Lepisosteus oculatus: one gene and its partners. The protein of the gene in region 3 purifies or fractionates together with the protein of the main gene of each other region. This does not show direct contact. Links are inferred from orthologs where the notes say so. Each region holds a gene or a part of one and is shown on either strand. Other genes may lie near its edges.

What was found.
Region 1: the proteins of psmg2 (region 3) and pomp purify together in Homo sapiens (co-immunoprecipitation; 6 studies listed by BioGRID and IntAct, counting the BioPlex papers as one, with this or other methods). This does not show direct contact. The link is inferred for Lepisosteus oculatus from reciprocal best matches to the Homo sapiens genes PSMG2 and POMP.
Region 2: the proteins of psmg2 (region 3) and psma4 purify together in Homo sapiens (affinity purification with mass spectrometry; 4 studies listed by BioGRID and IntAct, with this or other methods). This does not show direct contact. The link is inferred for Lepisosteus oculatus from reciprocal best matches to the Homo sapiens genes PSMG2 and PSMA4.
Region 4: the proteins of psmg2 (region 3) and psmg3 purify together in Homo sapiens (affinity purification with mass spectrometry; 4 studies listed by BioGRID and IntAct, counting the BioPlex papers as one, with this or other methods). This does not show direct contact. The link is inferred for Lepisosteus oculatus from reciprocal best matches to the Homo sapiens genes PSMG2 and PSMG3.

Annotation. Positions count from the first base shown.
Region 1 is NC_090700.1:1,688,824-1,696,543, reverse strand, and holds pomp (proteasome maturation protein), read left to right. Parts: upstream 1-4,703; 5' UTR 4,704-4,808; coding exon 4,809-4,811; intron 4,812-5,649; coding exon 5,650-5,750; intron 5,751-6,171; coding exon 6,172-6,232; intron 6,233-6,512; coding exon 6,513-6,614; intron 6,615-6,873; coding exon 6,874-6,967; intron 6,968-7,203; coding exon 7,204-7,271; 3' UTR 7,272-7,428; downstream 7,429-7,720. Other genes in the region: c5h11orf65 (protein MFI), read left to right, coding at 553-765, 1,312-1,445, 1,618-1,788, 2,363-2,418, 3,478-3,680. UniProt on the Homo sapiens protein: Molecular chaperone essential for the assembly of standard proteasomes and immunoproteasomes. Degraded after completion of proteasome maturation. Mediates the association of 20S preproteasome with the endoplasmic reticulum.
Region 2 is NC_090700.1:60,551,289-60,558,876, reverse strand, and holds the start of psma4 (proteasome subunit alpha type-4), read left to right. Parts: upstream 1-4,580; 5' UTR 4,581-4,651; exon of another isoform or gene 4,652-4,665; intron 4,666-5,530; 5' UTR 5,531-5,556; coding exon 5,557-5,559; intron 5,560-5,770; coding exon 5,771-5,813; intron 5,814-6,188; coding exon 6,189-6,351; intron 6,352-7,309; coding exon 7,310-7,387; intron 7,388-7,546; coding exon 7,547-7,588. UniProt on the Homo sapiens protein: Component of the 20S core proteasome complex involved in the proteolytic degradation of most intracellular proteins. This complex plays numerous essential roles within the cell by associating with different regulatory particles.
Region 3 is NC_090705.1:9,334,496-9,342,447, forward strand, and holds the start of psmg2 (proteasome assembly chaperone 2), read left to right. Parts: upstream 1-4,938; 5' UTR 4,939-5,057; coding exon 5,058-5,114; intron 5,115-5,238; coding exon 5,239-5,410; intron 5,411-6,276; coding exon 6,277-6,335; intron 6,336-7,003; coding exon 7,004-7,122; intron 7,123-7,844; coding exon 7,845-7,952. Other genes in the region: cep76 (centrosomal protein of 76 kDa), read right to left, coding at 63-248, 1,505-1,729, 2,138-2,219, 2,894-3,049, 4,413-4,475. UniProt on the Homo sapiens protein: Chaperone protein which promotes assembly of the 20S proteasome as part of a heterodimer with PSMG1.
Region 4 is NC_090714.1:1,335,830-1,343,108, forward strand, and holds the start of psmg3 (proteasome assembly chaperone 3), read right to left. Parts: upstream 3,007-7,279; 5' UTR 2,975-3,006; intron 2,566-2,974; exon of another isoform or gene 2,487-2,565; intron 1,581-2,486; 5' UTR 1,496-1,580; intron 25-1,495; 5' UTR 6-24; coding exon 1-5. UniProt on the Homo sapiens protein: Chaperone protein which promotes assembly of the 20S proteasome. May cooperate with PSMG1-PSMG2 heterodimers to orchestrate the correct assembly of proteasomes.

The DNA of each region.
Region 1 (7,720 bases), on a different chromosome or scaffold from region 3:
TCTACCCTGGAATCTGGGGAGAGAATAATAATAAAAATTACTTACACTGGGGTAACACCCCTACTCTTTTTTAGACAATTTTTAATGACCACAGAGAGTCAGGACCTCGGTTTTACATCTGAACTGAAGGACAGCACCTTTTAACAGTATAGTGTCCCCATCACTATACTGGGGCATTAGGACCCACACAGACTGCAGGGTGAGCGCCCCCTTCTGGCCCCACTAACACCTCTTCTAGCAGCAACCTTAGCTTTCCCAGGAGTCTCCCATCCAGGTACTGGCCAGGCTCACACTGCTGAGCTCCTGTGAGCTGCCAGTGGTGAGTTGCAGGGTGATATGGCTGCTGGCCAGTTTCTGACCAGTTTCTGGCCATTATAACAGCACACTTAGAACTCCTTGTCTATAAAAATAAAATGTTTGCTTTAGTCTTTATTTGTGGCAAGGTTTCACTGTGACCTCTAACAGTTCGACCCCTCACACTTTCAGATGAATGCAAAACGTGGGGTTGCTGTTCTTTTGTGTTCAGGATTCGTTTTTTACCCCCCTTTTCAGACAAAATTTCCTCCAAGCATCTACTACAAGATATTCACGCACCGCCCGATAGTGGACATGTGCGCCAACAGCCCCAAGGACTACACCTGCCCCGCAGCCAGGCGGCCCCTGCCGGGGCAAATCCACAACCGCGGGCGGGCTGCGGGGCAGGAGGACCGCTCGGGCTGGTACCGGCGGGAGGAGAACAACGGCTGGAGGCTCCTCTCGGGCAAGGTGCGGCGGGGCCCTCCCGCGGGGCCGCACTGCTGAGCCAGGCCTGCGGGGGGCGCTCTCCCCCTGCGCCTGCGTCCACCCGGCCACGCGCCCGCTCACGGGCCGTTCAGAGACCAGAGCACCTGGCGGACATGTAAACCACACCCAAGGGGCCAAAATTCATCCCTGAACTCAAGACCCCCTCTTCTCTTCGTATTAGTCTGCTAGAGTGCGCTACATCATGGTCCTCATTAGTGTGATTACTGAATTTGCACTTTGTATAGATCCAGGCACATATTTGTCCACTGCATGGGACATGACATTCTCGGCAAAAACAAGAATAACAGAATCTGGAAATACTCAGAGCAGGTCCTATTATTGTATACACTTGCAAAGGAATAACCCCTTTTTTTCTGTGAAGTTCCGACCACTTATTAATCCCTTCGATCGATTTTGGTTTTTTGCTTGTTTCTTTGTTCAAAAATGAAGTTGCGTTATGTAACTTATTTCCTTTTTCACGAAGGTGTGATACGCTGCTCTTGTGTTTCTGTCCGTTGCTGTTATAAGATTTGGTTAATGGGCGACCCCGTAACACTGGACTCTGCCGCGAAGAAAACGGAATTCCATTACTCCAGGATCCAGAGGCGCCAGGAAGTAGGGAGAAGGAGGAAGCAGAGGAAAATTGACTGGATGAAAAAGATGTGAGTTTATTATTGACTAGGTCAAATTCAGGGGGTGAGTTTTATTACTCCCCAGGTGCCAGGAGTAAACCTTGCCGTGGCTCCACATAAACATTCTAGAGGTTTGAGAAATTGCCCTGCATTAGCAGAAGGCGCTGCTGGCTGATGAGTGGCATCTGTGTGCACTGCCCAGGTATGAAGACGGCCTCCTGCAGGCCCGCACAGAGGACCCTGACGCGGCTCTGCTCGTGGACAAGGCCGCAGAGGGCATGATGGCGGCGGTGGATCAGCTGGGGCCCAGCCACGTGCTGGAGTGGGAAGTGGACGAGCTGCTGGAGTGGACCAACTCCCTCAACTTCGAAGAGTGAGTCGCCGCCGTGCAGACGCACAGGCCCGCCTCCCTGGCGGTCAGGTCAGCCGTATTGTCAAGTGTCCTGCCCTCGTGTGCTGCCACAGAAGGTCCTGGTACATGTCAGTCAAAATGCCAGTTTAGTGCTGCAATTACATGAATATATCAAATCAAGTCAGTTCCAAGTCCCACCCCTTTTCCCAATTTGAACACAAGAAACTCTCTTGCTGTACGGATTTGAAGCATATCAAACAGCACTCCTGCGTCGCTTGATTAAATATAATTATATTATGATATAAATCTATTATATATATTTCAAACATGCTCTATGCGAACCACCTTTGCCTTTCTCTCTACATCTCTGTCTCCTTTTCTTTCTCTGTCATATACACACAATCGACTTTCAGTAGAAACGTCTTGCTCTTTTGAACACTTAGAGTTAAACATGGACCACATGTTTTGGAATACCTGCTGAAAAGCAGCAGTAGAATGTACAGTATTTATAAATGCAATGGAAGTGTTGTACTAAATTAATGAGACCCATGGGAAAAACTTTGCTCTTAGTTTAGTCTTCTTTTCTGTATTTCAGGTACATGAATGGATGGAAGGAAACAGCAATGAGTGGTTTTTCAGAGTCCTATAAAGGTAAAAAAGAGAACTTATGATGAAGAAGATTACTGGAGAAAAATACCCGTGTGCACTGACACACACAATGATAGACATGAAAAACACACATTCCTGATAACATACTTCTGAGTTTTAGATAGTGTAGAATAAAGTTTACCAGATTTGTAATTACTTGTCTTTCTCCTTTTTGTGATTAAACATTTGGAAGGATTACTACACTGGTGGTTGTCTCCCATGCTGGAAACTAGTTGTTAAACATTATTTTTATATAATATATTATATGTATATATTATTTTTATATGATTGTTGTATGATCATTTGACCATTATTGTGTTTTACAAACACAAGACTTTGGAAAGCTATCATTTGGGAGTTCAGTTTCTTCTCGTTCAAAACTATTTCTGTTCTTTTCAAGTCATAATTTTTTAATGTTTGAAGACCAAATATTGAACTCAAACACTTTCTTTCTATAACAACAATTTATAGTTTTAATTAATTTAGAAAACTGAAGATTTAGAACTTTAGAAAACTGATGTGATACAATGAGAAGAAAGCAGACTGCAGACTGAATTCAGTGTCTAGTACTCTGTATAAGTACTGTAGTTAAAATTAAAGTCCATCCCAGAGACACATCAGCTCCTCGGGATAAAGTTCATCCTGGTTTCTGCAGCATTAAGCAGACTAGCGAGCATGTGACTCCCCTTGCAGGGGATGCCAGTCCATCACAGGGAGCGTCCTGCATGCTGCTCCCCACATAATACATGTTGGACTGAATAATACATAATAAATTGAGTTGGACTGAAGCAGCCGGGGTAAAGAACCTCTATCTGGGGCAGGGGCTGAGTCCGGGGGGTAACCCACTACGATTTGCCACCCCTGTCAAATTCAAAAGAAATACTTTAAATAAATCACTTGTCAGAGCTGCGGTGAGAAAGCTCTGCTTTGTAGTTGAAACCACATGGAGTTCTAAGCAAAAGACATTTTCCGTGCAGGACTGCGTGGGAGTTGCTATGTTATGCTGTGTTACAGCCCTTTCTGCTGCCAGCGCTTTGACACGGTGGCCTGTCTCTGTTACAGGTTCGAGGCTCGTCGTCTCCCAGCACGACCAGTGCGAGTTCACGCGGTTCTCCCGGGAGGGCAGTCAGGCAGCCGCCGACTGCAGCGCCCTCACCTGTCACGTCTCCAGCCAGTACCAGTCTTACAGCACCCCCCTGCTCTCCAGGGCTAGCATGGCAGAGCACGGCTCCCACAGCAGACAGATAAAGCAGCTGCCACTTTAGACAGACAGGAGTGGAGTGTCCAGTGTGCACCGAAGTACAGCGCTCTCCCGTTAGGAGGCCATGACAGCTTTCCCCTGCTTACTCATGTTTCGGTTCGTGCCAGAAAACTGATGGTGTTCTGATGGTGAAAACTGAAGGGCTCTGGCTCTTCATCAGGGTAAATATTTAACGTGATTAATCTGTTCCTTCAGGGTACTATTTTCAACAAGATATATCAATGGTAACGAAGGTCTGAAAATGTAGTACACGTTCATATGACCTGTCCCTGTTTTAAATGAAAATTATTTTCCCCCATGTTTGAATTCTCAATATTTTACACGCGTTGCCCCAAGACACTGTCATTTTCCATGCTGATTCCTAATAAAGCTGTATGTGGAGCTTTTTTGTGTCTTATGTCTGTGGATCCTCTGTTTCACTGAGGCCGGCTGACTCTAGGGTCTGTTTCTCAGTAAACTAGACGTACATCAAGGCATCAGCAGTCTGCAGCCTGCTCCCTGGCACCTCCAGAATGAGTAAGAACTGGGAACACCCCTGTGCTCTGTGCTGGATGCTGAGATGTGTCAAATGTATGAGTCAGTGCTAGTATTATATGGGTGTCGTCCTAAACTAGAATAAAAAACTGGATTGACAGTACACAGTTGTGTTTATACAGGTTCATGTAAAACCAAAAAAGCACTTCAATTATGATCCCTTCTATTTTAATAATAATAATAATAATAATAATGTAAAAAGATGGTGTTTTTGAATTTTACACAAAAAAAAGAGGGGGCACCCGGATTTGAACCGGGGACCTCTTGATCTGCAGTCAAATGCTCTACCACTGAGCTATACCCCCTGTCTGCGAAACGCCTGCCGATGGCCTATACAAATCAACTGTGTGTATCGCCGTTTTCTAATGTAATTTTAAAAATTGTAATATTAGAACTATGTGTTGCCCGCAAGTACTTAATGAAAGCAAAGTTAAACTTAATTGTTTCTAAGCTGATAGATGAAGATTTCTATCTTCGTTTCGGACTTTTCAGAGCTGCCATCAGCGGAAGCATCGTCATTTGTCACGTGTGAGGGGTACCGGTGAGCCGGAAGTACTCGGTGTGGGGTCATTAGGAAGAAAGAAGCCGCCGGATCAGTATGGTGAGATGAGTTTTTATTTAAAAATCTCTTGTTATAGGGAACGTGTGATTTACATGTTGCTCTTAAGCCAAGATACTTTTAACGGATTTTGTCAGCGTTACACTGAAGCTGACGTGATTGTACAAGAGGTTCATTTAGCTGAGTTTTGATTAGTCACTGCTCTCCGCGAGTTCAGTTGTTCACGTCAAAATATGTCTCGGGCCTTGTTTATTCCCGTGCGTTGCTGAATTAACAGGCACTAATGTGGTATCTACTCATCAGTCTTAAAGATTTGTTGGTTACCAACGTGACAATCAAGCGTACTTTGTGAATACACGGAGCGACGCGAAACTGAAAGTGCTCTGGTCCTGATTTGCAGTATCATTGCTCTTGGGACACTGGTTATCCGACTGTCGCGGTAAAATGCCCAAATCCTGTCGGTGATCTTGACTCCCTGCAGGAGTCACTTTAACCCTGGGGTCGCTCTGGAGTGGTGAGGTTACTGTCCATCACCCGGGCGGGTGAACTGAGTCCTCTCATTCCTACACAACAAGTACATGGGATGAATAGGGTCATTGTTCATCATTACTGTCACATCACAGGCTTTCACACTGGGAGAGTTCTGGACAGGTATATAAATTCAAGGATTTATTAATAATTGGATTTGGGGTGAAATGCATTGCTTACACACCTGAGCGGTCTCTGAGATTCTCCATTTGAGAACCATTGTGATCAAGGTCAGTCTGCGGTTGATCTTTTAACGGGCGATGTCGTGTTGTGGGACAGTAGACTAAGCTGCCCCACAGTTCTTTGACAGTCCCTGCCAAGCGCTGCTCATGGGGGCACTGCTGTATTTCAGAATACTAGAGGTCTTCGATCACAGCTGAAGGACAGCATCCCCGTCACAGGGCTGTGTCCGCAGTCGGGAACCTATGGCGTACCTGACACACTGCGCAAGGGGTGAGTGACCGCTCCGTATCTCACTCGCGGTCTGGATCTTCGTGGTTCCTCTCTCAGACTCAGACCGACATGTCCCTTCCTTCCCATCGCTGGATTTGACTTCTTCATGAACGGGAAAAACATTCTTGCTTGTTCTTTTTAAAATGAAACCCATCCCATCATGGTCTGAAGAAAGAGCCTGTTGACTGCCCCACGAGTCGTTAATTGTGACTGCAGCTTTACAGGATAAAAATGTGAGCTGTTTCTTATGGCGTAGAATCAGTACTTCATTTATTTTTGAGGAGGAACTTTAATTAATTGGATTACGTCATTACAGAGCTAGGCCATAACATGTATGAATAAACTAGAAGTTGCAACGGTGTTTTTAGCAAATAGATTTTGATAGAGTCTGAAGTTTTCTGTCCTTGTCACTGGCTTTCAGCTTCTCCAGCGTGAAGAACGAACTCCTGCCCTCCCACCCCCTGGAGCTCTCCGAGAAGAACGTAAGTGTTTCAGCTGGTATGTGCACTGGTAACCGAGAAGTTTTACATTTAAGCACCATTTTACTGAAGTTGATTCTTAAAGTGGATGGCAGACCGATAATATAAAATATATATAATCATATTTTGTCAGCTTTACAATCCTGATTTAGCCCTTGGTGCTTTTCCTAAAATAGCCATAGTTCCCGTGTCTTTCGGGTTGTCATGTTGTAATAAACTACAGCTCTATGAAGTGCTACTATGTCAGACATTGCATTTAACATCGCTGCTTCGTTTCTGCTAGTTTCAGCTCAATCAAGACAAGATGAACTTTGCCACGCTCAGGAACATTCAGGGACTTCATGCACCTCTGAAACTGCAGATGGAGTACAAGGCAGCAAAACAGGTACCCTCTCACCAGCTGTCTTGAAGGGGGGTATGTTTTAGAACACATATGTTTAAGAAGCTCAGTCCAAAATTCACTTGGTTAAGTTAATAACCATACTAAAGGTGAACATCAGAATCTGCCTTTGCAAAATGTCATCCTTTGAAGTCAAGTGGAGATTAGTGATAAATGACATTATGCTTTTTTTTCTGTCACACTTTCAAAAGCTGTTTGTATCTATTGTACCCATAACAATATCCTGCATGCTGTGCTTTTCCAGATACAGCGTTTGCCCTTCCTTCAGAGTTCAAACATTGCACTAGATACTCTCAGAGGAAATGACGAGTACGTTGGTTTTGAGGACATATTGAACGGTAAGTATTCAGAACTCCCTACAGCAGTTTGAAGGATGGCGTTGGGTCATTAAACATTAACAGTTCCTGGAAGCTGAACCCCCATTTTACTCCAGGCAATGTTTCCTTTTTTCTGTAAACAGAAACCACCAGGGGTACACAGGGGACCATTGTGTGTGGACAGCTGGGCTTAGATTGATATTGAGAATCACTCTCCAACGGCTTTTATTTCAACTTGGTGTTTTTTTTATTCGCAGATCCAGCACAAAGTGAAGTCATGGGGGAGCCCCATGTCATGGTGGAATACAAAACGGGTTTGCTGTAAAAAAATTCACGTTACTCTGTGTGATTGTTTGACATAAGACAAATGTGCTTCTTTTTGCTATATTCTAACCATACAGGACAAAGTATTTTGCATGGTTAGAATCAAATTATCGTTTAAAGATTTCTAATAAAGCTTTGTTTGCTCTCTTTATTTAGTATTTTGGGTGTCAGACTTTGATTTCATTAACAGTATGCTTTTTTCAGTTAAAATGATCATGGACGTAAGGCTGTGCCACTTGTATAGCATGTTGGTATTGTCTGGTGAAAGATAGTATATAAAGGCATGAGTTGAACTTACCTCTGCAATGTTTAATACCAGTTTGGATGCCTTCAGGATTTCTGCCAAATACTTAATGTTGTTAAATCTAAAGCACATTAAACCTTTGAATACGTTTGTTTCCATGAACACACAAGGAAGACAAAACAGTGAAAAGATTTCTTTAAACATTT
Region 2 (7,588 bases), on a different chromosome or scaffold from region 3:
CTTGTATCTGCTGAGTTGTTTGTAGATTATGCAAATTATAGCATACTTTCATTTTGTGATTCACTTCTTCTAAATGAAGAATCCTAAGATATATAAACTTTCAGACAACAAGACAGTTACACTGTAGAAATGAGAAGTGGACGGCCTTTTGACTGCCAGAACACCTTGAATGGAAAACTCAAGATCCAGCTTGAACATTGTCCATGTTTTCTTTTCTCCATACCATCACTTCCAGATGCCTTCCTTTCACATGAAACATATCCAATATACTTTGTTTTGGTAACTGTGAAATCATTTTTTGGACTGTTTGTGTATGTCTTGAATCACTGAGAAGAACGACTGACTTCCTTAATAGTTCATATTGATGTGAAGAATGTGTCAATTTAAAATCTGAAGCCAGATCACTGTCGTTAGAACAGGTTTTACAGGAGTCTGTCTGATCTAAATCCTCATAGCACTTTCAGAGAGATTCAAGATAATTAAACCTTTTTGTTTCCTGCCTTTCTTCCTTGTGTATATCATTGGTGTTGACAAATTCATTTATTAATGCGAGGGGGGTAAAATATCAAATTAAATGCACTTTTCTTGACATTTTGGCATATGTCACTAATATTGTTTGTTTACTGGCAGTTTGATAATGCTAGTTTTGTGTTTATATAGTATGTAATGTTGCAAAAGTAGTAAATGAAATCGCTCATCACTGCACATTGTTTAAAAAACAAATAATATGCAGTGTCAGTTACTGTTACCTCAGAGTTTTGTCTGTGCCATCCGGATAACCTTCAGCTAGGCCCATATCTGGCATGTTGTTCGATATTCCTTAACGGGCGAGACTGCCAAAGCTGCCCCCCTATCTAAAAGTACTTTGACATGGCCTTGCAGAATAAGCTTTACCAGTTGGAATTCTTTTTTTCCCCAAGACACGTGTGTTATTCTGAGTTTTTAGAAGTGTGAGTAACTGTTTATGCTGTCCTCTGCAGTTCCAGGTTCTGCTCTGTGATAATCAGTCCCACTGGAAAGTGATGAACCACGTCACCAGTAGTTGCTGCTCCTCAGACACCATTGTTTTAATCGGTTCACGTGGGTTGTGTGTTTCTGAACTATTTTGGGAAGTTGGGGTTTAGTCTTGCTTTCTGGGTTTTATTCAGTACGTCAGTCAAGTCAAGCTCTTAAACCAGCAGCACATCACCCTGCAACTCACAACTGGCAACCCACTGAAGCTCAGCAGGTGTGAGCCTGGTCAGTACCTGGATGGGAGACCTCCTGGGAAAAACTAAGGCTGCTGCTGGAAGAGGTGTTAGTGGGGCCAGCAGGGGCCGCTCACCCTGCGGTCCATGTGGGTCTTAATGCCCCAGTATAGTGATGGGGACGCTATACTGTAAACAGGCGCCATCCTTGGATGAGGTGTAAAACTGAGGTCCTGACTGTCTGTGGTCATTAAAAAAAACCCAGGGTGTTTCTCGAAAAGAGTAGGGGTGTAACCCCGGCGTCCTGGCCACATTTCCCATTGGCCTTTACTAGTCATGGCCTCCTAATAATCCCCATCTCTGAACTGGCTTCATCACTCTGCTCTCCTCCCCACTGACCTGTAAAACGCTTTGAGTGGAGTGTCCAGAAAAGCGCTATATAAGTGTAAGCAATTATTATTATTTTATTATTATTATTAAATGAATTCTGCCTTCAATGTGGCAGTGCTGCCGCATTTCATTGCTCTTGTGGTCACAGTTTACTGGTACAGTTTTATATTTCTCTAGCGACGTTGTACAGAAAAGACCATGAAAGTGCAGTAACTTTTAGACGTAGCCATGAACTTAGAATTCTGTATGTGTGGCGTGGTGCTTTACTTACAGTAGTCTCTGGGGTTTGCCAAAGCGGATTTTGACAGCAGTCTCCTTGGTCTAGTTTCAGAACCGCATGTATACAGCACAAGCCTATCAGGAGTACTTATTAAAATAAGTATTGTACAAAATGTATTAAATATGTAACTATTAACTGTTGCTGATAATGTAAATACATTTTAATAAAGACTGAAATGCAATTATTTCTGTATTGTAAATATTTTTCTTTTTTTTTTATTTGGTAGTGTAGTATCAGTGGATCTTCGTTACTTAATTAAATTGAACTGCTTATTACCTTGCAATCATTTTAATCTGGCTGATACCGTTTATAAAATTATTATATAATTGCTTGCCAGAAGAAACGCTGAAATGGATATTACATTTGCTAAATTCTGCCCTTATCAGCTGTCTTGCATGAAAGCAAAAGAATTAAGTTCTGCTCTGGATTGCATCCATGTATCAGTGTGAGTTAACCCATCCTACTTTCAGAGAGAAAGGAACTGTCCTCAATATTTTTTCTGTTTCAGTATATGTGCAGTTATTTGTATCTGCTGCATACAAATGAATGAATGGTTTTATAATGGTCTTGTACAGCGTTAATTCTGGATGCTGGTGGATGGTGGATGCTGCACATTAGTGGTGGTGGCGGGGATCCCCATTACCTGTATAGCGCTTTGAGTGTAGTGTCCAGAAAAGCGCTCTGTAAGTGTAAGCAATTATTATTATTATTATTATTATTATTATTATTATTATTATTATTATTATTATATCTAGACTTACATGGTTATAATGTTGACAGGTTGCAAGTATCTTATACTTGCATGCATAAAGTACATATTATATATATAGATGTGTTCATCTCAAAGGATCCCAAACTGCTTTACACACAAAAGGGAGCTCATTTCTATGATGTGCCATTATGTATCAGCGACCGCACTGCACAGCAGATCAGGAGAAGTGCGAAATGAAGTGGGAATTTTTAAGAAGGTGAGGGGTTGATACTCATACTCTTTCAAGACATGGCATGGGATCTTTAATGACTTTTATGATGATGATCATTTTTTTTTTATTAATAATTTAACGACCTGAGATTTTTCAAGGCCAGCAGCCATATCACCCCACAGATTACATCTGGCAGCCCCACTGAAGCTCAGCAGGTGTGAGCCTGGTCAGTACCTGGATGGGAGACCTCCTGGGAAAAACTAAGGCTGCTGCTGGAAAAGGTGTTAGTAGGGCCAGTAGGGGGCGCTCACCCTGCTATCTGTGTGGGTCCTAATGCCCCAGTATGGTGATGGGGACACTGTACTGTAAACAGGTGCCATTCTTCAGATGAGATGTAAAACTGAGGTCCTGACTCTCTGTGGTCATTTAAAATCCAAGGGTGTTTCCCTGGCGTCCTGGCCAAATTTCCCATTGGCCCTTACCAATCATGGCCTCCTAATAATCCCCCTCTATGAATTGGCTTCATCACTCTGCTCTCCTCCCCACTAATAGATGATGTGTGGGGAGTGTACTGGTGCACTATGGCTGCTGTTGCATCATCCAGGTGGGGCTGCACACTGGTGTTGGTGGAGGGGATCCCCATTACCTGTCAAACGCTTTGAGTGGAGTGTCCAGAAAAGTGCTATATAAGTGAAAGCAATTATTATTAATTTTAATGACCACAGAGAGTACAGACCTCGGTTTTTCATCTCATCTAAAGGATGGCTCCCCTTTTTTACAGTATAATGTTCCTATTAGCTACACTGGGCCATTACGACAACACAGACCGCTGGTTGAGTTCTCCCTACTGGTCCTACTAGCACCTCTTCCAGCAGCACCCTTGGTTTTCCCAAGAACCAGGAGGCCTCCCATCCAGGTTCTGGCCAGGGTTTAAGGTCTTGTCTATAAAATGGCACCTTCTACAGTGCACTGTCTCCCATTTACCACGCTGGGGAGTTTGTGTGGGATTTCTGGTCAGGATGGGAAGAGTGCATGTACTGGTCCACCAACACCACCTGCAACAGTAAACTGGATTTACCTGAAGTTCTCCCCATTCCTCCCAGTACTGACCTGGCCCAGTCTTGCTTAGCATCTAATGAGTTAAGGGTAAATAGTGGTAATGAAAGCAAAAGGCACTTTGTGTGAAGAAAGATGAATATCTGCCAGCGTTTTTGCTGTATCAAAGCCAATTTCCTGGTTTTATTAAAACATTCATGAGCTTCCACCTATCAAATGAGCAAGGTGGTCTAAATCAATTCTGCTAATCTTCTTTGCGTATTGTTTACTGAACTGTGCGTTGCAAATAAATTTAGACATAGAGTTAGAGAAATACAATGCAGTTTGCAAACAATATTTTTAATAAATACCCTAACACTGACATAAAAAATAAAGAGACATTGGAATTAAAGGGATACCGGCAGCTATATCACATTGCAACTCAACTGGCGGTCCACTGAAGCTCAGCAGGTGTGAGCCTGGCCAGTACCTGGATGGGAGACCTCCTGGGAAAAACTAAGGCTGCTGCTGGAAGAGGTGTTAGTGGGGCCAGCAGGGGGCGCTCACCCTGCGGTCTGTGTGGGTCCTATGTCCCACTATAGTGACGGGGACACCAAACTTAAAAAGGTGCCATCCCTCAGTAGTGGTTGTACGAACTGCTGGTTTAATTGCGTTTTCTTGTTTTTTCATAGTTTGCGTTGAATCATCCACGCTACTAGGGGGCGCCAAAATAAAACTTGGCTCACAAGTTATGGAAAGTGCGCTCTTTTTATTTTTGGATGAGTCGGTGTTTCATTTCAGGTAGTCCCCGGCAACATTCTGACTGAGCAGCATTTGTAAGATATAAAATATAAAATTACATTTACTTTTAAAACGGATTAGCTTTTTTAAACGCAATTTGCTTTGGGCGCTTAGATCGTATTACGAGACTGTATGGCTCATTACGCTTGTTTTCAGAAACCTTAGTAGTTTTATGTTTTTGGCCTACGTGAATGATGCTCTGTAGTTCCTGCTTCATCATGCTGGCAAAGTCTAGTGTGCTGTAACTTGTGTAAATGTAGCTTATTGTTTTTCATGATTTTGCCTCTTTGTTTCAGAAGAGAGTCAGATTCTAATGTGACTGTATTTGTAAACTTAGTATGTTTGATATATTTCAGTTTTTTAATGTGTTCTCCTGGTATTGGAAACCACTTTGTCATTATGGGTTAGCTCCTGTTGGTTTCGTTTTCTTTAGCTTTGACGATATGCGATGATTTGCAAGCAATATAAACATGTTACACGTTTTTCAGTCCACTGTACTGCAGATTTTCTATTTTTGGAGGATAAGGACAAGTTTTACTGTTGACTAGACAGTGTGTTGCGCCTGAATGGTTGTGCATATTGTTAGTATAACTGGAATGTTTTCATGGTACCCTTGACTGCTGAAGACTAATACATTAATAAATATTGATTTGTGTTAATAACCATTTTTTGTATAGACCATGAATACTCTAATTGGGCTTAAATGTGTATTAAATCCCAACTGTGCGAAGCTTTTATTATCGTATAATCAACATTGAAGCAGGTTTAATCAGCTCAGACAAATTTTTAAAAACTAAGCTCCTTTATTTGTCATGGTTTCTGCTACTGGTTGCTTCTTCACAGTTTCCAAACGACTTTTGTTCATGCTTATTAAAACAGATCTAATGTCTGTATTTTTTTTTTTGTGTGTGCAGATTTTACGTGACAAGTCCTTGTCAGGATGGTAAGTACACTGCTGTAAAGTGTGCCTGTAACAAGCTTAATTCGTCCTAATGTGTTCAAAACACTTTGGAATGTTGTTTTTAAAGAGATAATTTGCTTATAATGAGACTGGGTAGTCTAACTGGGACTTCAACTTTAGGTTCTGGGAAAGTTACAAATTAAAGCATAGCAGGTAATAAGATAATGGTTATTAATGTTGTTGTTGTTTTTAGTCTCGCAGATATGACTCTCGGACAACTATTTTCTCACCAGAAGGCAAGTATTTGTTTTTCTGTGAGGTTTGCTGTCTTTGTAGTTTAATTATTATTAATATGAAGACCACCGAAACTTTTTTGAAATATGTAGCCGAATGATACTGATGTGTGGAAACAGCTGTTACTTTTATTGTTTCTCTTTTCATTTTGCCTTTTAACTTTGAGCAGATGTGAAGGAGTTATAAAGAGAAGCATGTTACAAACCAGTCTGTTAAATTACGTGGCTTTTTTTGTGTTTACCATTGTGTCTTCCACAAACCAACGTTGACCATTTTAAACTAATGGGAAACAGAGTTTCCTCAATTTTCAGTTTGTAGTTGGATTGTCTTTCAAGTCTCCACATCTCCCTGCCTGATGAGCTGTGATTTTGTGGCAGGCCGTCTGTACCAGGTGGAGTATGCCATGGAAGCGATTGGGCACGCTGGCACTTGCCTTGGGATTTTGGCCAATGATGGTGTGTTGTTGGCTGCAGAGAGGCGAAACATTCACAAACTTCTAGATGAAGTGTTCTTCTCAGAGAAGATCTACAAGCTGAATGAGTGAGTTTTTTGTTTATTGTCTTTACCCAGAAAAATCTTGTTTACATGAATTCTTTGTATTCAGGTTTTACTACATTGTTGTAGTTTCTGTCTACAAAACATGTTAAGCCCTTAAAAAATGTATTTGTAACAGAGGATTTATTTTAGAACCTAAGTTTTTCACATTTCTATGTACTGGAGTTTTTTCCAAGTGCTTGTTTGAAATGCAAGTGCTTGTATAGACAATTGCTTAGCAATCACACAGTCTGTCAAGTGAACAAGTCCCTTATAACCCCCCTTATCAGGTTTAAGAGCATTGTTGGTTTAATCTAATAAAACGTTTTTCTTATACGTTGCCCAGTTTGAGATTGCCAGTTGTTTTTTTAACTTAGCTGTCTGGTAACAGCTCCTGTACTCATACGGGATAAAATTAGACTAGCAGATAAGGTCCTCTCTCACCTGCAAATGATGTTGTCATTTTGACACACTACAGACTCCACACCAGATTCGAATGGAAGAAATGCTTCTTGTTTTCTGTCCTAAATACACTCGTGCTTACTTGTATTTATATTCTTTGGTCTTGGCTTTCTTGCTTGGATTGGCATAGTAAGATTTTCTTAGAGTCTGTAAGCATCAGTGATCTCCGGAGAGACTCCTGTTACTTGTTGAAGTGGATCTCTTAACCTTTCTATTTTTATCATAGGCAGGTGGATATGGTTGCAATTTTTTGTTCTGTTTCTGAAACAATATTTACATAAATGTCATTCATTTCATTTTCTGTAAACTATTGTATTAATAGTTGCGTCGAGTAGTATAAAGAGACTTGGGAGCGATTGACTACTTTTCCGATTGCATTTTCTATTTCAAAGAAAAATTACATAAAAAATTACCTTTAAAGAACTGACGGATTGTTGAAAAAGTCAGATTTGAAGTTCCTTACACAACCTTAAAAGCTTATCCCCATGGTTGTCTTTTGCAGAGATATGGCGTGCAGTGTGGCTGGGATAACATCAGATGCCAACGTTCTGACCAATGAGCTGAGGCTAATAGCACAAAGGTAAGCTGATAAAATGTTAATGAGCTTTGTGGGTTGGTCTGTATCAGCTGTATTTTCCTCATTATTTGCTTAATGATGTGTTCCATGTCTTGCAATATACAGTATATTTGGGTGGTTCTTTCATTTACACCTGGGGTATAAATTACTGTCTTCTGTCAGGTATTTGCTGCAGTACCAGGAACCAATCCCTTGTGAACAGTT
Region 3 (7,952 bases):
AAAATAACCACATTTTGGTACGTTTCAACAAAAAAATAAAATTAAAATGTTCATTTTCCTACCCACTCCCAGGAGTTCCACAGCTAAAGTAGTTCTTCCATTCGGTGAACTCAGGACGGATCGCCAATCCAGGAAATAGGAGGAAACTAGCAAAGTCTCACTTGATGTGTCCGTCTTGATAAGAACCATGTGAACGGGATCACTAACAGACAACATTGTTGTGGCATCTGCCATCTTACTGCCGTCACCTAGAAACAATTAAACAATTAACAACCTGAGACCCTTCAAGTAGTTAAAATACACAACCCTCTAGTTCTGGGTCAAACACGATGTGCCAAGCAGTGGCCTCTCTGTGCGTGCCATAAAGGTGGTTCTCATGATTTCAGAATTAGTGTGCCTGTCTCAGTAAGGCAGCAAATGTCAATCAAAGATTCAACCATGAAGACCCAGGAGCTTTCAAAACAACTCATGGATAAAGCAGTCTAAAGGCACTGATCTCGAGAAGGGTTTGAAAACATTTCAGAGACTCTTAATATCTCACTGACCGCTGCGACGTCAGTCTGTAAGAAGTGGTAAGCACCCAGACACTGCCTAAATCAGGTTGCCTCTCCAGCCCTGTAAAACACATTCCAGATCCCACAGGAGATACTGCAAACACGTGGCAAAAGGTTTGGCGGTCAGACATGACAAAACTGGACTTTTTTTAGTCTAAATGCAAAGCGTTGCATCTGACGCAAACCCTGTTATAAAGCAGCTGGATACAGCCGCAGGTGCTACTGGAATTAACCCCAAGTGCAGGAGAGCGACAGAAATGTCTGAAGAGACCTGACTGATTGAGAATTGAGCAAAGTACTGGAGAATTTGAGAAAAAAACCTGCTTTAGACTTACAATTTGGGCAAAATTTGTCCTTCAGCAAGACAATGATGCAACACATAAGGCAAAAACTGCACAGGAATAAGAAGGTGAATGTCCATAAGTGGCCCAATCAAAGTCCTGACTTGAATCCTATTGAGAATCTGTTATTTAAACATTTCTTTTTTAAACGTGATAAGTATCTTGAGAGAACATGAGCAAATCTGCCAAGAAAAACAGGCAAAAACTGCACTAAGCTGGTGTGTAAGGTACCGTAAGAACAGACCACAGCTACAGCCAATGGTGCTTCCTCCAAATATTGAGTTCATGAGCCTCCACTCAATTACTTTTGCTGACATTTACTACAACCTATCTTACCCTGAGCATTTAGCTCTTGAATAAAATATTAAACTTAAAAAATGTGGATCCATCACTTTGCATATCCGTTCTCATTTATACTGTACCTGTAGCCACACCCCTGCTCAAAAGATGATTGTCTTGAGCATCTATACGAGTATTGATTATCTGATGTGTTTCTAGTTATACTGTCTGCTGCTGTAAAATAAACTGGCGCTCAGGGATAATAAGGACTCTCGCTTGTGTAATGATGAACGAAGGTCCCAGTCTGTTGCTGCGGAAGACGGCTCTGACCTGGACCCTCTCTGTGGACTTCCAGCAGGAAGCCCTCCTGGAGATCTGGCTCACAGGCGCAGGGCACAGGCTTGGAGCGGAAACGCTGGTTCCTGAAGTGCAGGTACAGGGTGAATGTGGAGCACACCTGCCCAGGTAATGGCTCAGGCTCCTGGAGATGCTCCAGAAAAGCCTTTCCCCCAAGAACCTGCAGGTAAAGGTACCTTCTTGTTGGGTCAATGTTGGCTGGAAAAGAAATTAACCTCAATTAGGAGACGCCGATGGGCCATTAATGCGATTATGGAGTTAGAATTAGGCTCATTTTAAAGTAATCGATAAATAACAGTGACAAAAGGATTACTTCATGTTCACACTCAGTAAAAAAATCCCATTTCTACTTTTTAGTAAAGCAAGGAAGTACTGCACGATAGTTTTGTAGCACAAGCGAACCGTTAAACCAGTATTTTCGGAGTCAAAAAGCTAACACTAACGCATACCCTGAAGTAAATCAGACTGCCTATTGTAAGATTTTTTTTTTTGCCTTTATGTAATATGCCATTAAAATGGTAAATGGTAATTTCCAGTTCAGTTCTTCCAATTTAACTGAATGGACCAAACATTATTGCACTGCATATCGTTAAAAGTCTTTCTTACTTTTCTTGAGTTGTGCTGGCTCCTTGTCGACAAAATGTGTTGAGGGTTTAGGAGTAGAGATGGCCTCTCTGCTTGGCAATTCCTAATCCAGGCCACACACACAGAGGGAAGGGAAACAGACATCAGGAGATTTCTTCACGGGGGGAAAACATGTCACCCTTATACAGTATCATGTACTTAACAGCACACTTCCCAACAAATAAGTGTCCTTCCTTCATTATTAAGTAAGCCCTCCTTACTGTCCCCCAAGCCCGTCTACATTGTATGGGCGACAGGGCCTTCTCCTGCTATGCCCCCAAGCTCTGGAACTCTTTGCCCAAGGATATCCGAGAGTCAGCTTCTCTAAACTCCTTCAAATCCAGACTCAAAACCTTCTTCTTCAGAAAAGCCTTTACTTAACTGGTTCCATTCTTCACCCCTCTGCTCTTCTTAGTACCACCTTCCACGGTCTCCTCTATTGTTATTGTTGTAATTGTAATTGTGTCTTATCTTGTGAAATCTTCCTATTTATTGTTGTAGTCTTCTTATTTATTGTTATTGTCATCCTGTAAAGCGCTTTGAGAAGCCACCTTTAAAGGCGCTATATAAAATAAAGTTTATTATTATTATTATTATTATTATTATTATTATTATTATTATTGAAAACATAGATACAGAGTTAAAATGGAAACAACCGAAAACAGAGATAGTTTTCTGCGTCGGTAAGATACCGCGAGATAAACTGGATTGTAATCCTGATCTGAATCAAACACTCACCTGCACAAAGCTTAGGTCCTTCATGACATCATCGACGATCCCCCTTCGTTGCAAACCCCGTATTAAGTCCTCTTCCGAGAGATTGTGATGTCCAGAGCCCAGCTCCTCCCGCACGGTCTCAGCCAAGACATCCCGGATCTTCCCATGGATATCGATCTGCACATGCATCCATTAGATACATCCATTAGATACACCTCCTGGGAAAAACTTAGGTTGCTACTGGTAGAGGTGTTATTGGGGCCAGCAGACACTGCAGTCCATGTGGGTCCTAATGCCCCAGTATAGTGATGGGGACACTATACTGTAAACAGGTGCCGTCCTTCGGATGAGACGTAAAACCGAGGTCCGGACTCTCTGTGGTCATTAAAAATCCCTGGGCGTTTCTCGAAAAGAGTAGGGGTGTAATCCCGGCGTCCTGGCCAAATTTCCCATTGGCCCTTACCAATCATGGCCTCCTAATAATCCCCCTCTATGAATTGGCTTCATTACTCTCTGCTCTCCTCCCCACTAATAGCTGATGTGTGGTGAGCGTTCTGGTGCACTATGGCTGCCGTCGCATCATCCAGGTGGTGGAGGGGAGTCTCCATTACCTGTAAAAGCGCTTTGAGTGGAGTGTCCAGAAAAGTGCTATATAAGTGTAAGCAATTATTATTATTATTATTATTATTATTATTATTACTTCTTTATCCCAGAAAGGGTGAGAGTATTATGAATCAAACTACCCAGACATTGTGTTGTAGCCTGTACCCTGGCTTCAGGCAAGAAACGGCAATCAGCTACTAACATAAGAGGTGGATTGGACCAAAGGCCTTCTTTCATCTTCGCTGGAATCAAACTACCGTAGAAGATATGTGAATGATGAAAACAAAAATTGTTTACACTGTATCTTCAAATAAACGCCGCATACAGCTTGAACACGATCTTGATTAAAATTTTCACATTAAAATATGATTTCTCGTGGTACATACGCCCATTTTCTGAGTGCTAATACAGTAGCATGCGTTAAAGCTTAGTCGCACTGAACCTACAAGAAGCACAGTTCTGTACCAAGGCCTTCCCCAGTGGGTCTGCAGAGTGCGATGATGGTTATCTGATTATTTCGAAAAATGCTTGAGTTGATTTCAAATATTTTTTTTTAAGAACTGTAGGCCAAAGGAACTATTTAATGTTGGCAACTACAGAGTCCGGAATTTAAGAGATCAGACAACAATTCAGAACCGTGGACAGAGCACAGCAATCGGGCAACTAAAACCAGGAGGAAACCTTACCGACTGAATGCTCAACCTGAAGCCGAAAACATGACAGCAGGAACAGCTTAGAAAGACGGACTGTTACCTGTCACATTAGCTACCTGTACTTTCACTGAAGTGGCCCATAAGTATCTTCGAGTGCTACAACATTATTCCCGCAAACTTTAAGCTCCGGACTCGTTTCTTTGGAAAGTCTGGACGATGGGTTAAGATCATATTATTTCTCCAAAGCATGCAGGCGTCTCTGGTGAGACTAATACTGTACTCACCTTTGTCAAGTGGTTGTGAATGATCTGTTTCAGCTCAGAAGCCTTTTCTGGTGGAAGAGACATGCTCACAGAGGACGTCTACTGTATAGAAGTCCCAACGAACAAATCGTTACTTATTTAATTACGTGACTACTTTCACACTCCCCCTGCTTACTTAAATTGAAACTGGTCAAACTAAAAAAAAAGGGGGGCTGATTTCGCTTTCCAGGTTTTCGAAAGCAGCAGTCTGAACCGTCAAGCTCGTCTCCTCCCCACAACAACCAACGAGCAGACAGAACTTTCAAACCGTGGCGGAAAAGCCAGCGGGAAGCCATCCATTGTAGTGCCCGACTTAATCTTGCACAAAATAAAATGCAGCAAAGGGAAATAGCACACATATTACACCCAATTTATATATTTGTCCATACTTTTTAAAGATAATGACATTTTCGTTATATATTTTGTGTCTAACAAAAAGTCATTTTAGTTTTCATCAGGCACCATATAAGTCCACCCTCAACGTAACAGACTCCAAGCGAGCGTCATGTCAAGGAAGGACCCTGGAAGTAGCATGGAGTTGTAGTGAAACGGAAAGTTGTCATTCTGTACACATTAGTACAGTTAAAAATCATTTTACCGAATTGTCTATTTTTCTTACTCGCAAACATGTTTATTCCGGTTGGGTGCTCAGCGCCCTCTTTCAAAGAGTTTACCCTTATAATGGTAAGTTAGACGTTTTACATTATGCTTAATGTTGTTTTTTTCTAGTTGTTAATTTACATGTTAAAAAAGGGCTTATATATTTTTCCGTTCCTTTACTTTGCTGTTATCCTGTGGTTGATTGTAGCCGGCGGTATCGGTGGGAAACGTGGGACAGTTTGCAACAGACCTGGTCATTTCTACCCTTCACATGCCTCGAGTGGGCTATTTCCACAGTGACTGTCTAGTACCCATGGTAGGAAATAATCCCTATGCCACATCGCCAGAAGATTCATCTGAACTCAGTACAAATGCCGAAGGTTAGTATGTGGACGGATTCTGCTCATCAAAGATACGTATATGCATCAACGCGTCTGGATGCAACGAAGTTTAGATTTTTTAGATAGCCCGTACCAAACTGACACAGCTTGTCTTGAATGTGTGGTAGTTTTGTTGTAGTTCTCAAACTCTTGTAAATAACCGATCTGCTGTGTACTATAGCAGGTTCAGGCTATGTAGTGATTTAAGATCATCCTTAAAATGCATAATAATTTGCATCTATAAATTATTATTGCATCTTTAAGTGTTGTAGATTTAAATCAATACGTTTATTGAAATAATATGTGAATTTCATGCTGGACGTACATGTAGTCCACCAAAAGAACGTTCAGTATTCATCTGAACTCACACTTACAGTGGATATTCTTTTTCTGATACAGGCCAGAACATAAGCTTTTCTAGAGAAAACCAGCAAATAATTCACGCTCACGTTTATTCACTGTCAGTTTCTACTTGTGTCCTCTTGTTTATTCTAAAGAAGACCACTGGGTTGACTTTGTCAGTGCCTTTGAGAATGTTTAAAACTTGGTTCAGGTCCCCTTGTAGTCTTCTGTGTTCAAGATGAAAAAGGTTCAGTGCGTGTAGCCTGTTCGTATAGGATATTCCATTCAGTCCCTGAATGTCTGGTGGTTCTTTGCTGGACTGATGAAAGAACAACAAATGATTTTTTATGATGTAGTGACCAAAATTGTATGTAACATTCTGACAATTCAAGTGCTGTGCCTCTTTCCATATAAGTCTGCACATTCTGTGTTACAGATGTATTTAGTACTGTATATAGATTTAATGATAAAAAGTTACATCCAAAGAAATGTCAGTGGCATTTTCTGTTTTTGTCTGTGCACAGTGTACTCTTTGCCTGACTTAAAGCTGGCTGTCCTTCAGATCCGGGCTCCCATCATACAGGTAAGAAGCTATGGACCAGAGGCTAAGTAGGCTGATTAGATGAATTAATTAGACTAATTAAGTCATTAAGGGTAATTAACCTGTCTAAGAAGGTAGACGGAGTAATTAACTCCACCACAAGTAGGACTACTATATTTGTGTAGAGCCCCACCGAAGTGTAGTGAATGTTCAAGAAGAAAAGTACATAAACCTATAATCGCACATTCAGTGCTAGTGAAGTCGCATTCATTATATCACTTTTATTGTATACTTCTGCAGCTTTGTTGGCTTTCATAATAAGTGTATTATAATAAGTTACAATGGTCCATTCCTTTGAGTTTAAATTATGGGTAGTAAAAAAGCTAGTTCAGGTGGGTAGCTGCGTCAGATGCGTAGGCTGCAAAGGAACAAGTAATAGGTTTATTCCATGCTGGAAAAAAAGAAGAAAGAGAACACAACGTTTCGGCCGTGGAGCCTTCTTCAGGTGTGTGACCTTGGTGTGTGACCAAGCCCAGACCTGAAGAAGGCTCCACGGCCGAAACGTTGTGTTCTCTTTCTTCTTTTTTTTCAGCATGGAATAAACCTCTATTACTTGTAAAAAAGCTAGTCTGTCATTTTGTTAGTACAGCTTTTCTGTGACCATTCAACTTACAGGAATAGGTCTAATCGTTTCTTTCTTGCCTTATTAGACGAAATACAGGCAGTTTCGGAAACGTGTTGTCTCCTGGATCAAGACAAACAAATTCTCCAAAGTTGTCCTCCTGTCTAGCTGTCATGCTCATCATCGGGATGACCGTCAGCTCCTCAGGTGAGAGACCTCTCATCTTTAATCTTCGGTTTTATGTCATTTTGTCTTTCTCTTCTCTGTGATGAATGTAGTATTTCACATTGATGGCTCTTTGACCCAGTAGATAAAAACAAGTGGCTAGCAGATTTACTGCTGATTCTGTGTGGTCTTTCAGCAGCACAATGTTGAGGGGAATAAGAATAAAGAATAAAGCAGACAGGCAGAAGCTTTAGTTCGTTTAAACCTTTTCTTCCCGATGTTCTGGATGGACAATTATCCTGCGCAAAGTACCTTTAACCTATACCTTTAACGCAAAGTAGCATTACATTAGTTGAATTGTTGTGTAGTAATGTGTGGTATGAGCAATGTTCCCTCTGAGCTGTGGGCGGGTAAGCGCACGCACAGGTTACGAGATCAGCACACATAGGAAATTGAACTGCGCACAAAACATCAAATAAAAAAAAATGATGATAATAAAACAAACACGGTCGTCAATTGGAAAATGCTAAATTGACCACATGGGACTGGCTGAGAGAGGCCCACCTTGGCTGTGTGCATTATTACTGCTCCTCGATCATCGATATCTACGCTCTTGAAGTCTCCTTCCTCACTGCTCGTGCTCGCTCCACACTCAGCCTCTATAACTGGGCTCGTTGAATCGCTGTCCTGGTCTTTTGGATCTCTATGCTTATATGAGGTTGACTATATTGACAAAAAAGAAATATTCCGTCCTCTGCTTCCAGCACTCCTCTGCGCTATTTGCTCACTCCTGCCCTGCAGAGCGTTGTCGGAGATGGACTGCAGAAGCTGGACTGGAAAGAGATGGAGAAGGTGTCGGCTTTTCCGGGGAT
Region 4 (7,279 bases), on a different chromosome or scaffold from region 3:
GCCATAGTCACCTTCTGGATAGGTCTGAAAAATAAAATGGACCATGATAACTTCACGCTCAATGACACATTCCACTATTTCATACAGCAGTTCAAGCCTACCCGAGCATCTCTTTTATAGGGAAGTGTATAAAAGAGATTTAAAAAACAAATGGTGAGAACAAAGGAATTAAAGAGGGACCGCAGGCCCAATTTCTCAAACTGGTTATTAAAATGTTGGTAACAAAATAAATGAACGGTGTAAAAAAAATGACAAAACCCAAATTAAGCACAATCGTGAGTCCCCTTGGTGTGGCAAACCCCTGGTCACGCCACGGGCGAGAGCCGTGACGCGGTACGGCCCTGTCCGCTCGCTCGTCAGGATGACTGATGCCCTGCGATGAATTAAGTGCAGGTTGTGCAGAAGCTCACTCGCCGCGCACGTTCCCAACCTGATCTGCTTGCAGAGTAAACAAGTGAGTTAACCACCCCGAAGTCGAGAGCAATATGTCCATTGGATTAAGGAGGCGCAATAAGATGCAACAAGGCTGCATCAGGTCACCCGAAGTTTTGTTGACTCGCAGAATAGGGTGCTGCGCACCCTTGGAAATTTCGTCAATTTTGTGGTGTAAATTGGTGGTTTTACAAGTTCCTGTGTGTACACCTCTTACTTTCGTTCAGGTTTGAAATGCACTCATCCCTGCTGATTCTTTCCAACCCCAAAATGTATAAAATGGCCTTGGTTCCCCTTTAAATGATACAGAAGTTTGAAGGTTTTGACGGAAACAACTTAATGCTCTTCAGCAGTTCTCGAAGAATCAAATCAGTTAAAAATGGTTTTAACCCATTTTAAAGATTATATACACATCATTCATGACTTACAGGACTAAACACTCAGGTTAATTTTTGGTATCCCGTTTGTCTTGTTAACTCAAGTATAAGTTTTAAGTCCATACATATTGATGGGTTTATTACTGCTGTTCACTTAATTTCTGCGGAAAAGACGATACTTAAATGTCAAACTCTAGACGACGGTAAGGAATCTAAAATTTAAACTAAAGTTTTTAAAGAAAAAGATTGTGCAAGGAACAAATCACAAGCTTAGGTTTCTATATTTACACTTTCGATAAATATCCTTTAAGCTCGACCTTCAATTAAAATCGGTTAATCCTTTTGCCCCAAACTGGAAAAAGATGTTTTTGACGGTATTTTATACCCAACACTTACACTGGGGTTTCTTAAATATTCTAAAATGCATTTTATTTGAAAAATCAGTGTCCATATCGCATTTTAAGGAAATATGGAATTACCTTTCCAGCGTTCCTGCTTGGACGGCTCGCAGTTAACAGCGCTACCGAAACCAGTTCGATCCTGCCGACACCGCACTTCGCTCGGCGAGTGAACTACGAGAGCTCGGGGCTTCCACCAACTCCCAGTGCAGCGGGCCACGAAGGATTCTACAGCCAGGCTCGATTAAGGGTTCGTGAGAATTTTAAGGTACAAAAACCGCATCTTACCTTCTGCTTACGTTCGGCCAAATGTATGCAAAACAATCCTACGGAAATCTTGAAATATACACACGGTCAGGGGAGCTGAAAAAAACTGAAAAGACTTCTGCTCCGGTGCAAGTCACTACCACATGTGGGAAACAGCGCACAAGCGCAGAACAGAAACTGTTTATCAACCTGTTACTTTATTATAATTAAATATTGCGACTTTCTCCTCAACTTAAAACATCCTAGAGGTGGTTTACGTTCTCTATAAGTGTTGCAACACTTATTATAAATATTTATCAGCACATCTTGCCACAGTTCCGCTAAAAAGTATAATATTTTTATAACTATACAATGTGAGCCGAAAACATTTTTTCTCCGACTTAAAGAAAAAGACGGTTTTTAAATGACAAAGCGCGACTAAATACCATAGCTTCAAAAAAACGTTTAAGTCTTATTACATGAATCAATTTCTGTTAACTTAAAAATATGGATGAAACTGCTTTAATGCAAATCTAGTTTTGCTAAATTTGTTTCCCCTGTAGTAAAGCACAAACCAGCAACAGCTTTTAGTACTTGTGATAGAAATAGCTTAAGCTGTTTTACATCTACAAAAAAAGACCATCTTGTTTAAATATTTATGCTGACCAGATTAAATGCAGCAATCCTTAGGGAGGCACAGGGTGGAACAATTTCTTATTCATTTTTAAAACATCAGCAATAGTTGAATATAACTATAGAATTTAAACACCCAATCATTAATAGAATTACTTTAATATAAAGGTTGTCCATGAAGGCACAGATTAACCAGAGGACCAGACAGCTCACTTGGGGTATCCACATGAAACATGTCAAACACATGCACATTACTGAGGCCCCTAGTGAAAACCCACAGCACTGCAAGCATTTTCACATTCAGGGCCTTTCACTTCAAATTTAAAATATAAATCTCACATTAATTAGCAAAAAATAAATATTGGAACCAATACAAAGAAGGTCACAGGCAGTTTCCCACCTTGCCTTGTCAGTGTATTTTTTCAGAATTCATGTCTTTTGACATGGCAGGACCTCACCACTGTGAAATCTGCTACAAGCTGAAAAAGAAGGCACCACTGTTTTAATAATGGGGATAAAAGCCCACAAGCTAGAAAGCTTTACTTTAAGCATACTTAATGAAAACAGGCAGTACACAGATGGTGTAGGAGTCAGATAATTCTGATTGCCAGTTAATGCTTTAAACAAAACAAGTGAAAGAGGCCCAACCATGTGTAGAGTACAGAATGGCATTAGACTGTTTACAGAAATTCAAGCTTTTCTGCATGGAGCTCCTTTCAGCCAGTGGTAGTGTTCAAGACTCAGTGGGCCTCATTTTCCCCATTCTGTGCCTGATTGTCACCAAGCAAGCAACTGGGTTTGATTTAATTAACAAACAGCAGTCCTCCAGTGCAGGCAAACCTGGATTAATTTCCTTCAAACTAGGATCAAATAGAATCCAAAACTCACAGAGGCTCCTCTCAGCACACCTTCCCTCCAAGAGACCATCCACCTGCTGCGTGCCCCCAGTCCCTTTATAGCTCCTCCTTCCATGGGCCACCCCCCCTTAAAGGGACTTACTCGTATTTCTTATAGTGGTGGACCATTGGTAAACAAATAAAATAATTTAATATAGTTCCAAAGATAACTTACAAACTGTTGCCAGCTTACAAACTTTAACCAAGTCACGTGAGGGTTTTAATTTGTTTAAGCAAGGAAAAGAGACACACATCAGTTGATTATGGATGACTTCCCAGTAACCTTTCCCTTTAAGATCAACAATTTTTTTTGAGTACTGCTGGTGTGGCAGTCTGGGAACCAACCGCAAACAGGTGAAGGGTGGCCCAATACAACACAACACAACACAATGGAGAACACTTCAGTGATCTGAGGGAAAGGGGTGGGGGGTATGTACCATTCACACTTCGTACTTATCACATACACAATTACAAACATAATGGAAAGGCCTTGGAGTATTTAACATTCATTTGAAAAAAACAGGCACCCTGTCACAGTGATAAAGTACTGCTCCAAGTCCTTTTAAATACATTGGTGTGCCGTATGAATTGTAAGTTGAAGCTGGGATACCAGCTGGGGACCAGTGAACAGATATATTAGTCTCAGAAGTATACTCTTGTGCCCTTCAGTCCATTTAATGAGTCCTGGATGACAGCAGGGCCTACTGTACTTCCTTTTGGAAAAGCTTTTGAGGATGTTCCTCTCGTGCTAGCCATCCTGGAATAATTCCTAGACTGGCTTGGCAATCCTTGGGTAGTCTTGTGTATTGGTGTGGTAGAGTTCCGCTCGCTGCATGGCTGCAGGTGCATTGTTTAGCCCCAGAGGGATTTGCACCCACTCCTATAACCCCCAAGGCGTAGTCAGTGCTGTCAGATGTCAAGATCCCTTTCCTGGAATCCTTGGTGGTAAGCCTTGCGCTGATCAACACGTGAGAACCATCCGAAAGATCTGTCAGGTCTTGGATCTGTGGCAGTGGGTGTTGGTCTGGCTGTCGGGTATTGACGTAGCCTGTAATTGACATATAGCCATAAAGTCCAATCCTTCTTATGGACACACTCTACTGGGGATGAGTAAAAAGGTTTTGACTTTACTATCCATCTTCTGGCCAACGGGTCTTGAATGTATTGTCTCAGCACTCGGTAGTGTAGTTGTGGCACTTATACAGTACTTGGGTTCTCTGAACAGGGATGTCATTGTCTCAGAGTAGATAAAAGCAATGGCACTAGTTCAGGTTTCAAAATAAATAGGAGCTTCAGGTTTCTTTTACTCCAAAGCAAAAAAGAAAACGGTAGATTATTTCAGATCATCTCGGACCGACAGTCTGTCTGACAACCAGATCCTCTGTCTCTTTCTCACTCCGTCTCTCCCGCAGAGCTCTGGTGCATGGAGCCCTCTCCCCTTCCACCTCACCTAGCTGCTCCATCCAGGGGCAAGGAGCTCAAACAGGGAGGAGGTATAAGGAGCACAGTGGCTGACAGCTGGTTCCTCTTAGGCGCTGACTCATGCTGACTGCCTGTCACAGTCATCTTTTAAAGTAATTCCCATCTGTAAGCTCAGAACACAACCTATGTCATCCTTTTCATGGGCAAAAACTGTAGGCTCTTCATATAACACTTGTTTGACAGCTTTTCGCTGGTCATCTTCCAAGTGCCTTAAATCTACAGAATGTGCCACAAAAGGGTTATGGTGCATACAATTATTACTAGAGTTGGGTGCATGTTCACTGCTTTAGTTGTTTTAAGTGCCATTTCCGTGACATGGATTGCACTGTATGACAGTGCGGCAGTGCAGTGTTATTTTATGCCTTGTGTAGTTACCAGTGGGTATTTTGGTATAGAGAGCTGCAACACCACAAACTTCAACTAAAACTTCAAAAATATCTTATTTTTCCAGCCATTGTCAAAGGACAACACTAGATGTAAAAAGCAAACCTCCTAATGCACACATCAGTGCAAGTATGATGAGATCAGCAAGATCTGCAGTGAACATAATGTTCTATTATGTTAATATGGTTGAAATTGTTATTGAATTCTTAACATGTTTTTTAAAAGCACTATCTAGGGGACTTGTATTGACTTTAATTTTCAAAGGACCAGGAAACAATTAAAGAAAAAGTGATAGAACTATTGGGAAATCATGACCATTTTCTAAGGTAAAAAAAGAGAACAACTGGTAAAGGTGGAGTAAAATTGCCAAAGAGGGAGATGGAAAAGATTCTTACAAGAGAGGCAATAAATGATGCATTTTTTTTCTCAGTATACATACAGTATTATAAAAGTAAAAATAGATTATGACATAATGGGGGAGTGATAAAGTATAAAAGTAAACAATATAAAAAATCAAGTTTATTGCCAATTCAAATCAACAGCAATCACAAATTACCCTCCTCACTGACTGAGAGTAATTTTGTGGTAAAGTTCTGTCTAATTCTGTCTATATAAATTCTGTTATCTTGATCCCTTTCTTAGCTCACTGTGTACCAGGTTTTTAGTCTTTGGCCCCATTATCACAGTGATGATCAACAAATTGTATCTGGGTATTTTGCCATCTTCACTTAAACCTGTTGGACTTACACCTGTACTGAAGAGACCCTTGAATCTTACCTGCCATTTAAATCTTCCCTTCCTAGCCAATGCCCTACAGCAAGTGGCAATTTCCCAACTGCAAGATCATTTAATGAGAAACAAGCTCTCCAGACCTTTTCATTCAGGCTTCTGTCAGTTTCACACCACTGGTACAGTACATCTCTGGTGAAGGTGGCTAATGACCTCCTTGTGCCCTCAGACTTGGGTACATTGGCCCTGCTAGTTCTGCTCAATCGCATTTCTGCCTTCAACACTTTTGCTCATGCAATCACAAGACACAGATCTAGTTGTCACTGCCTTTGCTAGCTGCTCATCAAGTATTAAAACCTGGATGTGACAATATTTCTTGCGGCTCAGTAGTGACAAGACAGCATTGGTGCCAAACTGAAAAATTGGATGCCTTTAGCAACCTATCCTGTTCCATCCAGATGTTGAGAAACTCCCAGCATCTAATTTGTTACTGTACCTCCAATGTAAAACATTTTGAGACGTCTTGATATCTTAGCCATCTCGACATGTTAGCCTTTGTAATAGCACTTTTTGCAGTTTAATTTACATTTGCTTAATTGTATAAAAGATGTAAATGAAGGTAAAATAAGCCTCCAAGCCTACCTCATGAGTAACTTCTTCTGGTTCAGTTATTCTCATCTTACATTGGTTTGTTTTTTTTCAGCCTCCATGTAGCATTGTGCATATTAACTTCTTCTTCTAGTATATTTAGTACTTCATCCAAGCATTTGATCTGTCTTGATTTTTTGTGCAAATCCTTTTAAATTTACTATGGTACTTGATAACATTCCTATTTTGATATTGTCTCCAAACCTGAGAACCTTACTAACTGTATTAGAATCCCAGTTTTTAATATAAATTAGACATAGCAGTGGTCCTAACAGTTACATTAATAACTAATGACGTCATCTCACTCTGAGCATTATTGTCCTGTCTGTGGTGTTATTTATATCTTTGAAAGCCTACTTCCAGCACATGCTTTTTCAGAAATCATGCTGACTGTCCACTAGACTGCTGCTACCGTTTAGATGATCCTTTTGTTTTCATAATCTTACATGTGATATTTTTAAAATTATAATATAGTTCTAATAGCGTCTTTCTACAATCTTTCACATTTGACTTCTCAGACACCTTTATGTGTCCTCTATCAGGCTCATATAGAAGTCTTTATCATCCTACACAAACTCAGAAGGAGCGATGGATCGAGAGCATTCATGTGTCTTTTCATCTCCTGCTCTCAAGTATTGCTGTGCAATACTGGGTCACAGCTACTGACCTTTTAAGGGGTGAATCACCAGTTTCATTTAAACTGAACTGAACCTCAACATAGCAATGTTTTCAGAGCATTCATCTCTTCCAGGATTTATGAAAGCATAATGTATTCCCTGAAATATATTTTCAGTTTGTGCTTTTTATCTTTAGAGAGCTCCTAACATGAATAGAAAGTCAGTATGTCACGTGGCCTAAGATTATAAATCATATCAAATGATCGGTGGTGGAGAGTGAATTTGAGTATCCCTGAATGGTGATTTGGCTTGCTACAGTAAATGTTATGCCATTTATGCCTTCCGATGTTATTTCAGATAAGGATGGCTGTTTTGTTGTTGTGTCAGGCAAACTGCACCATTCTCCTGTAATGCTAGCTAATGTATATCCACCTAAT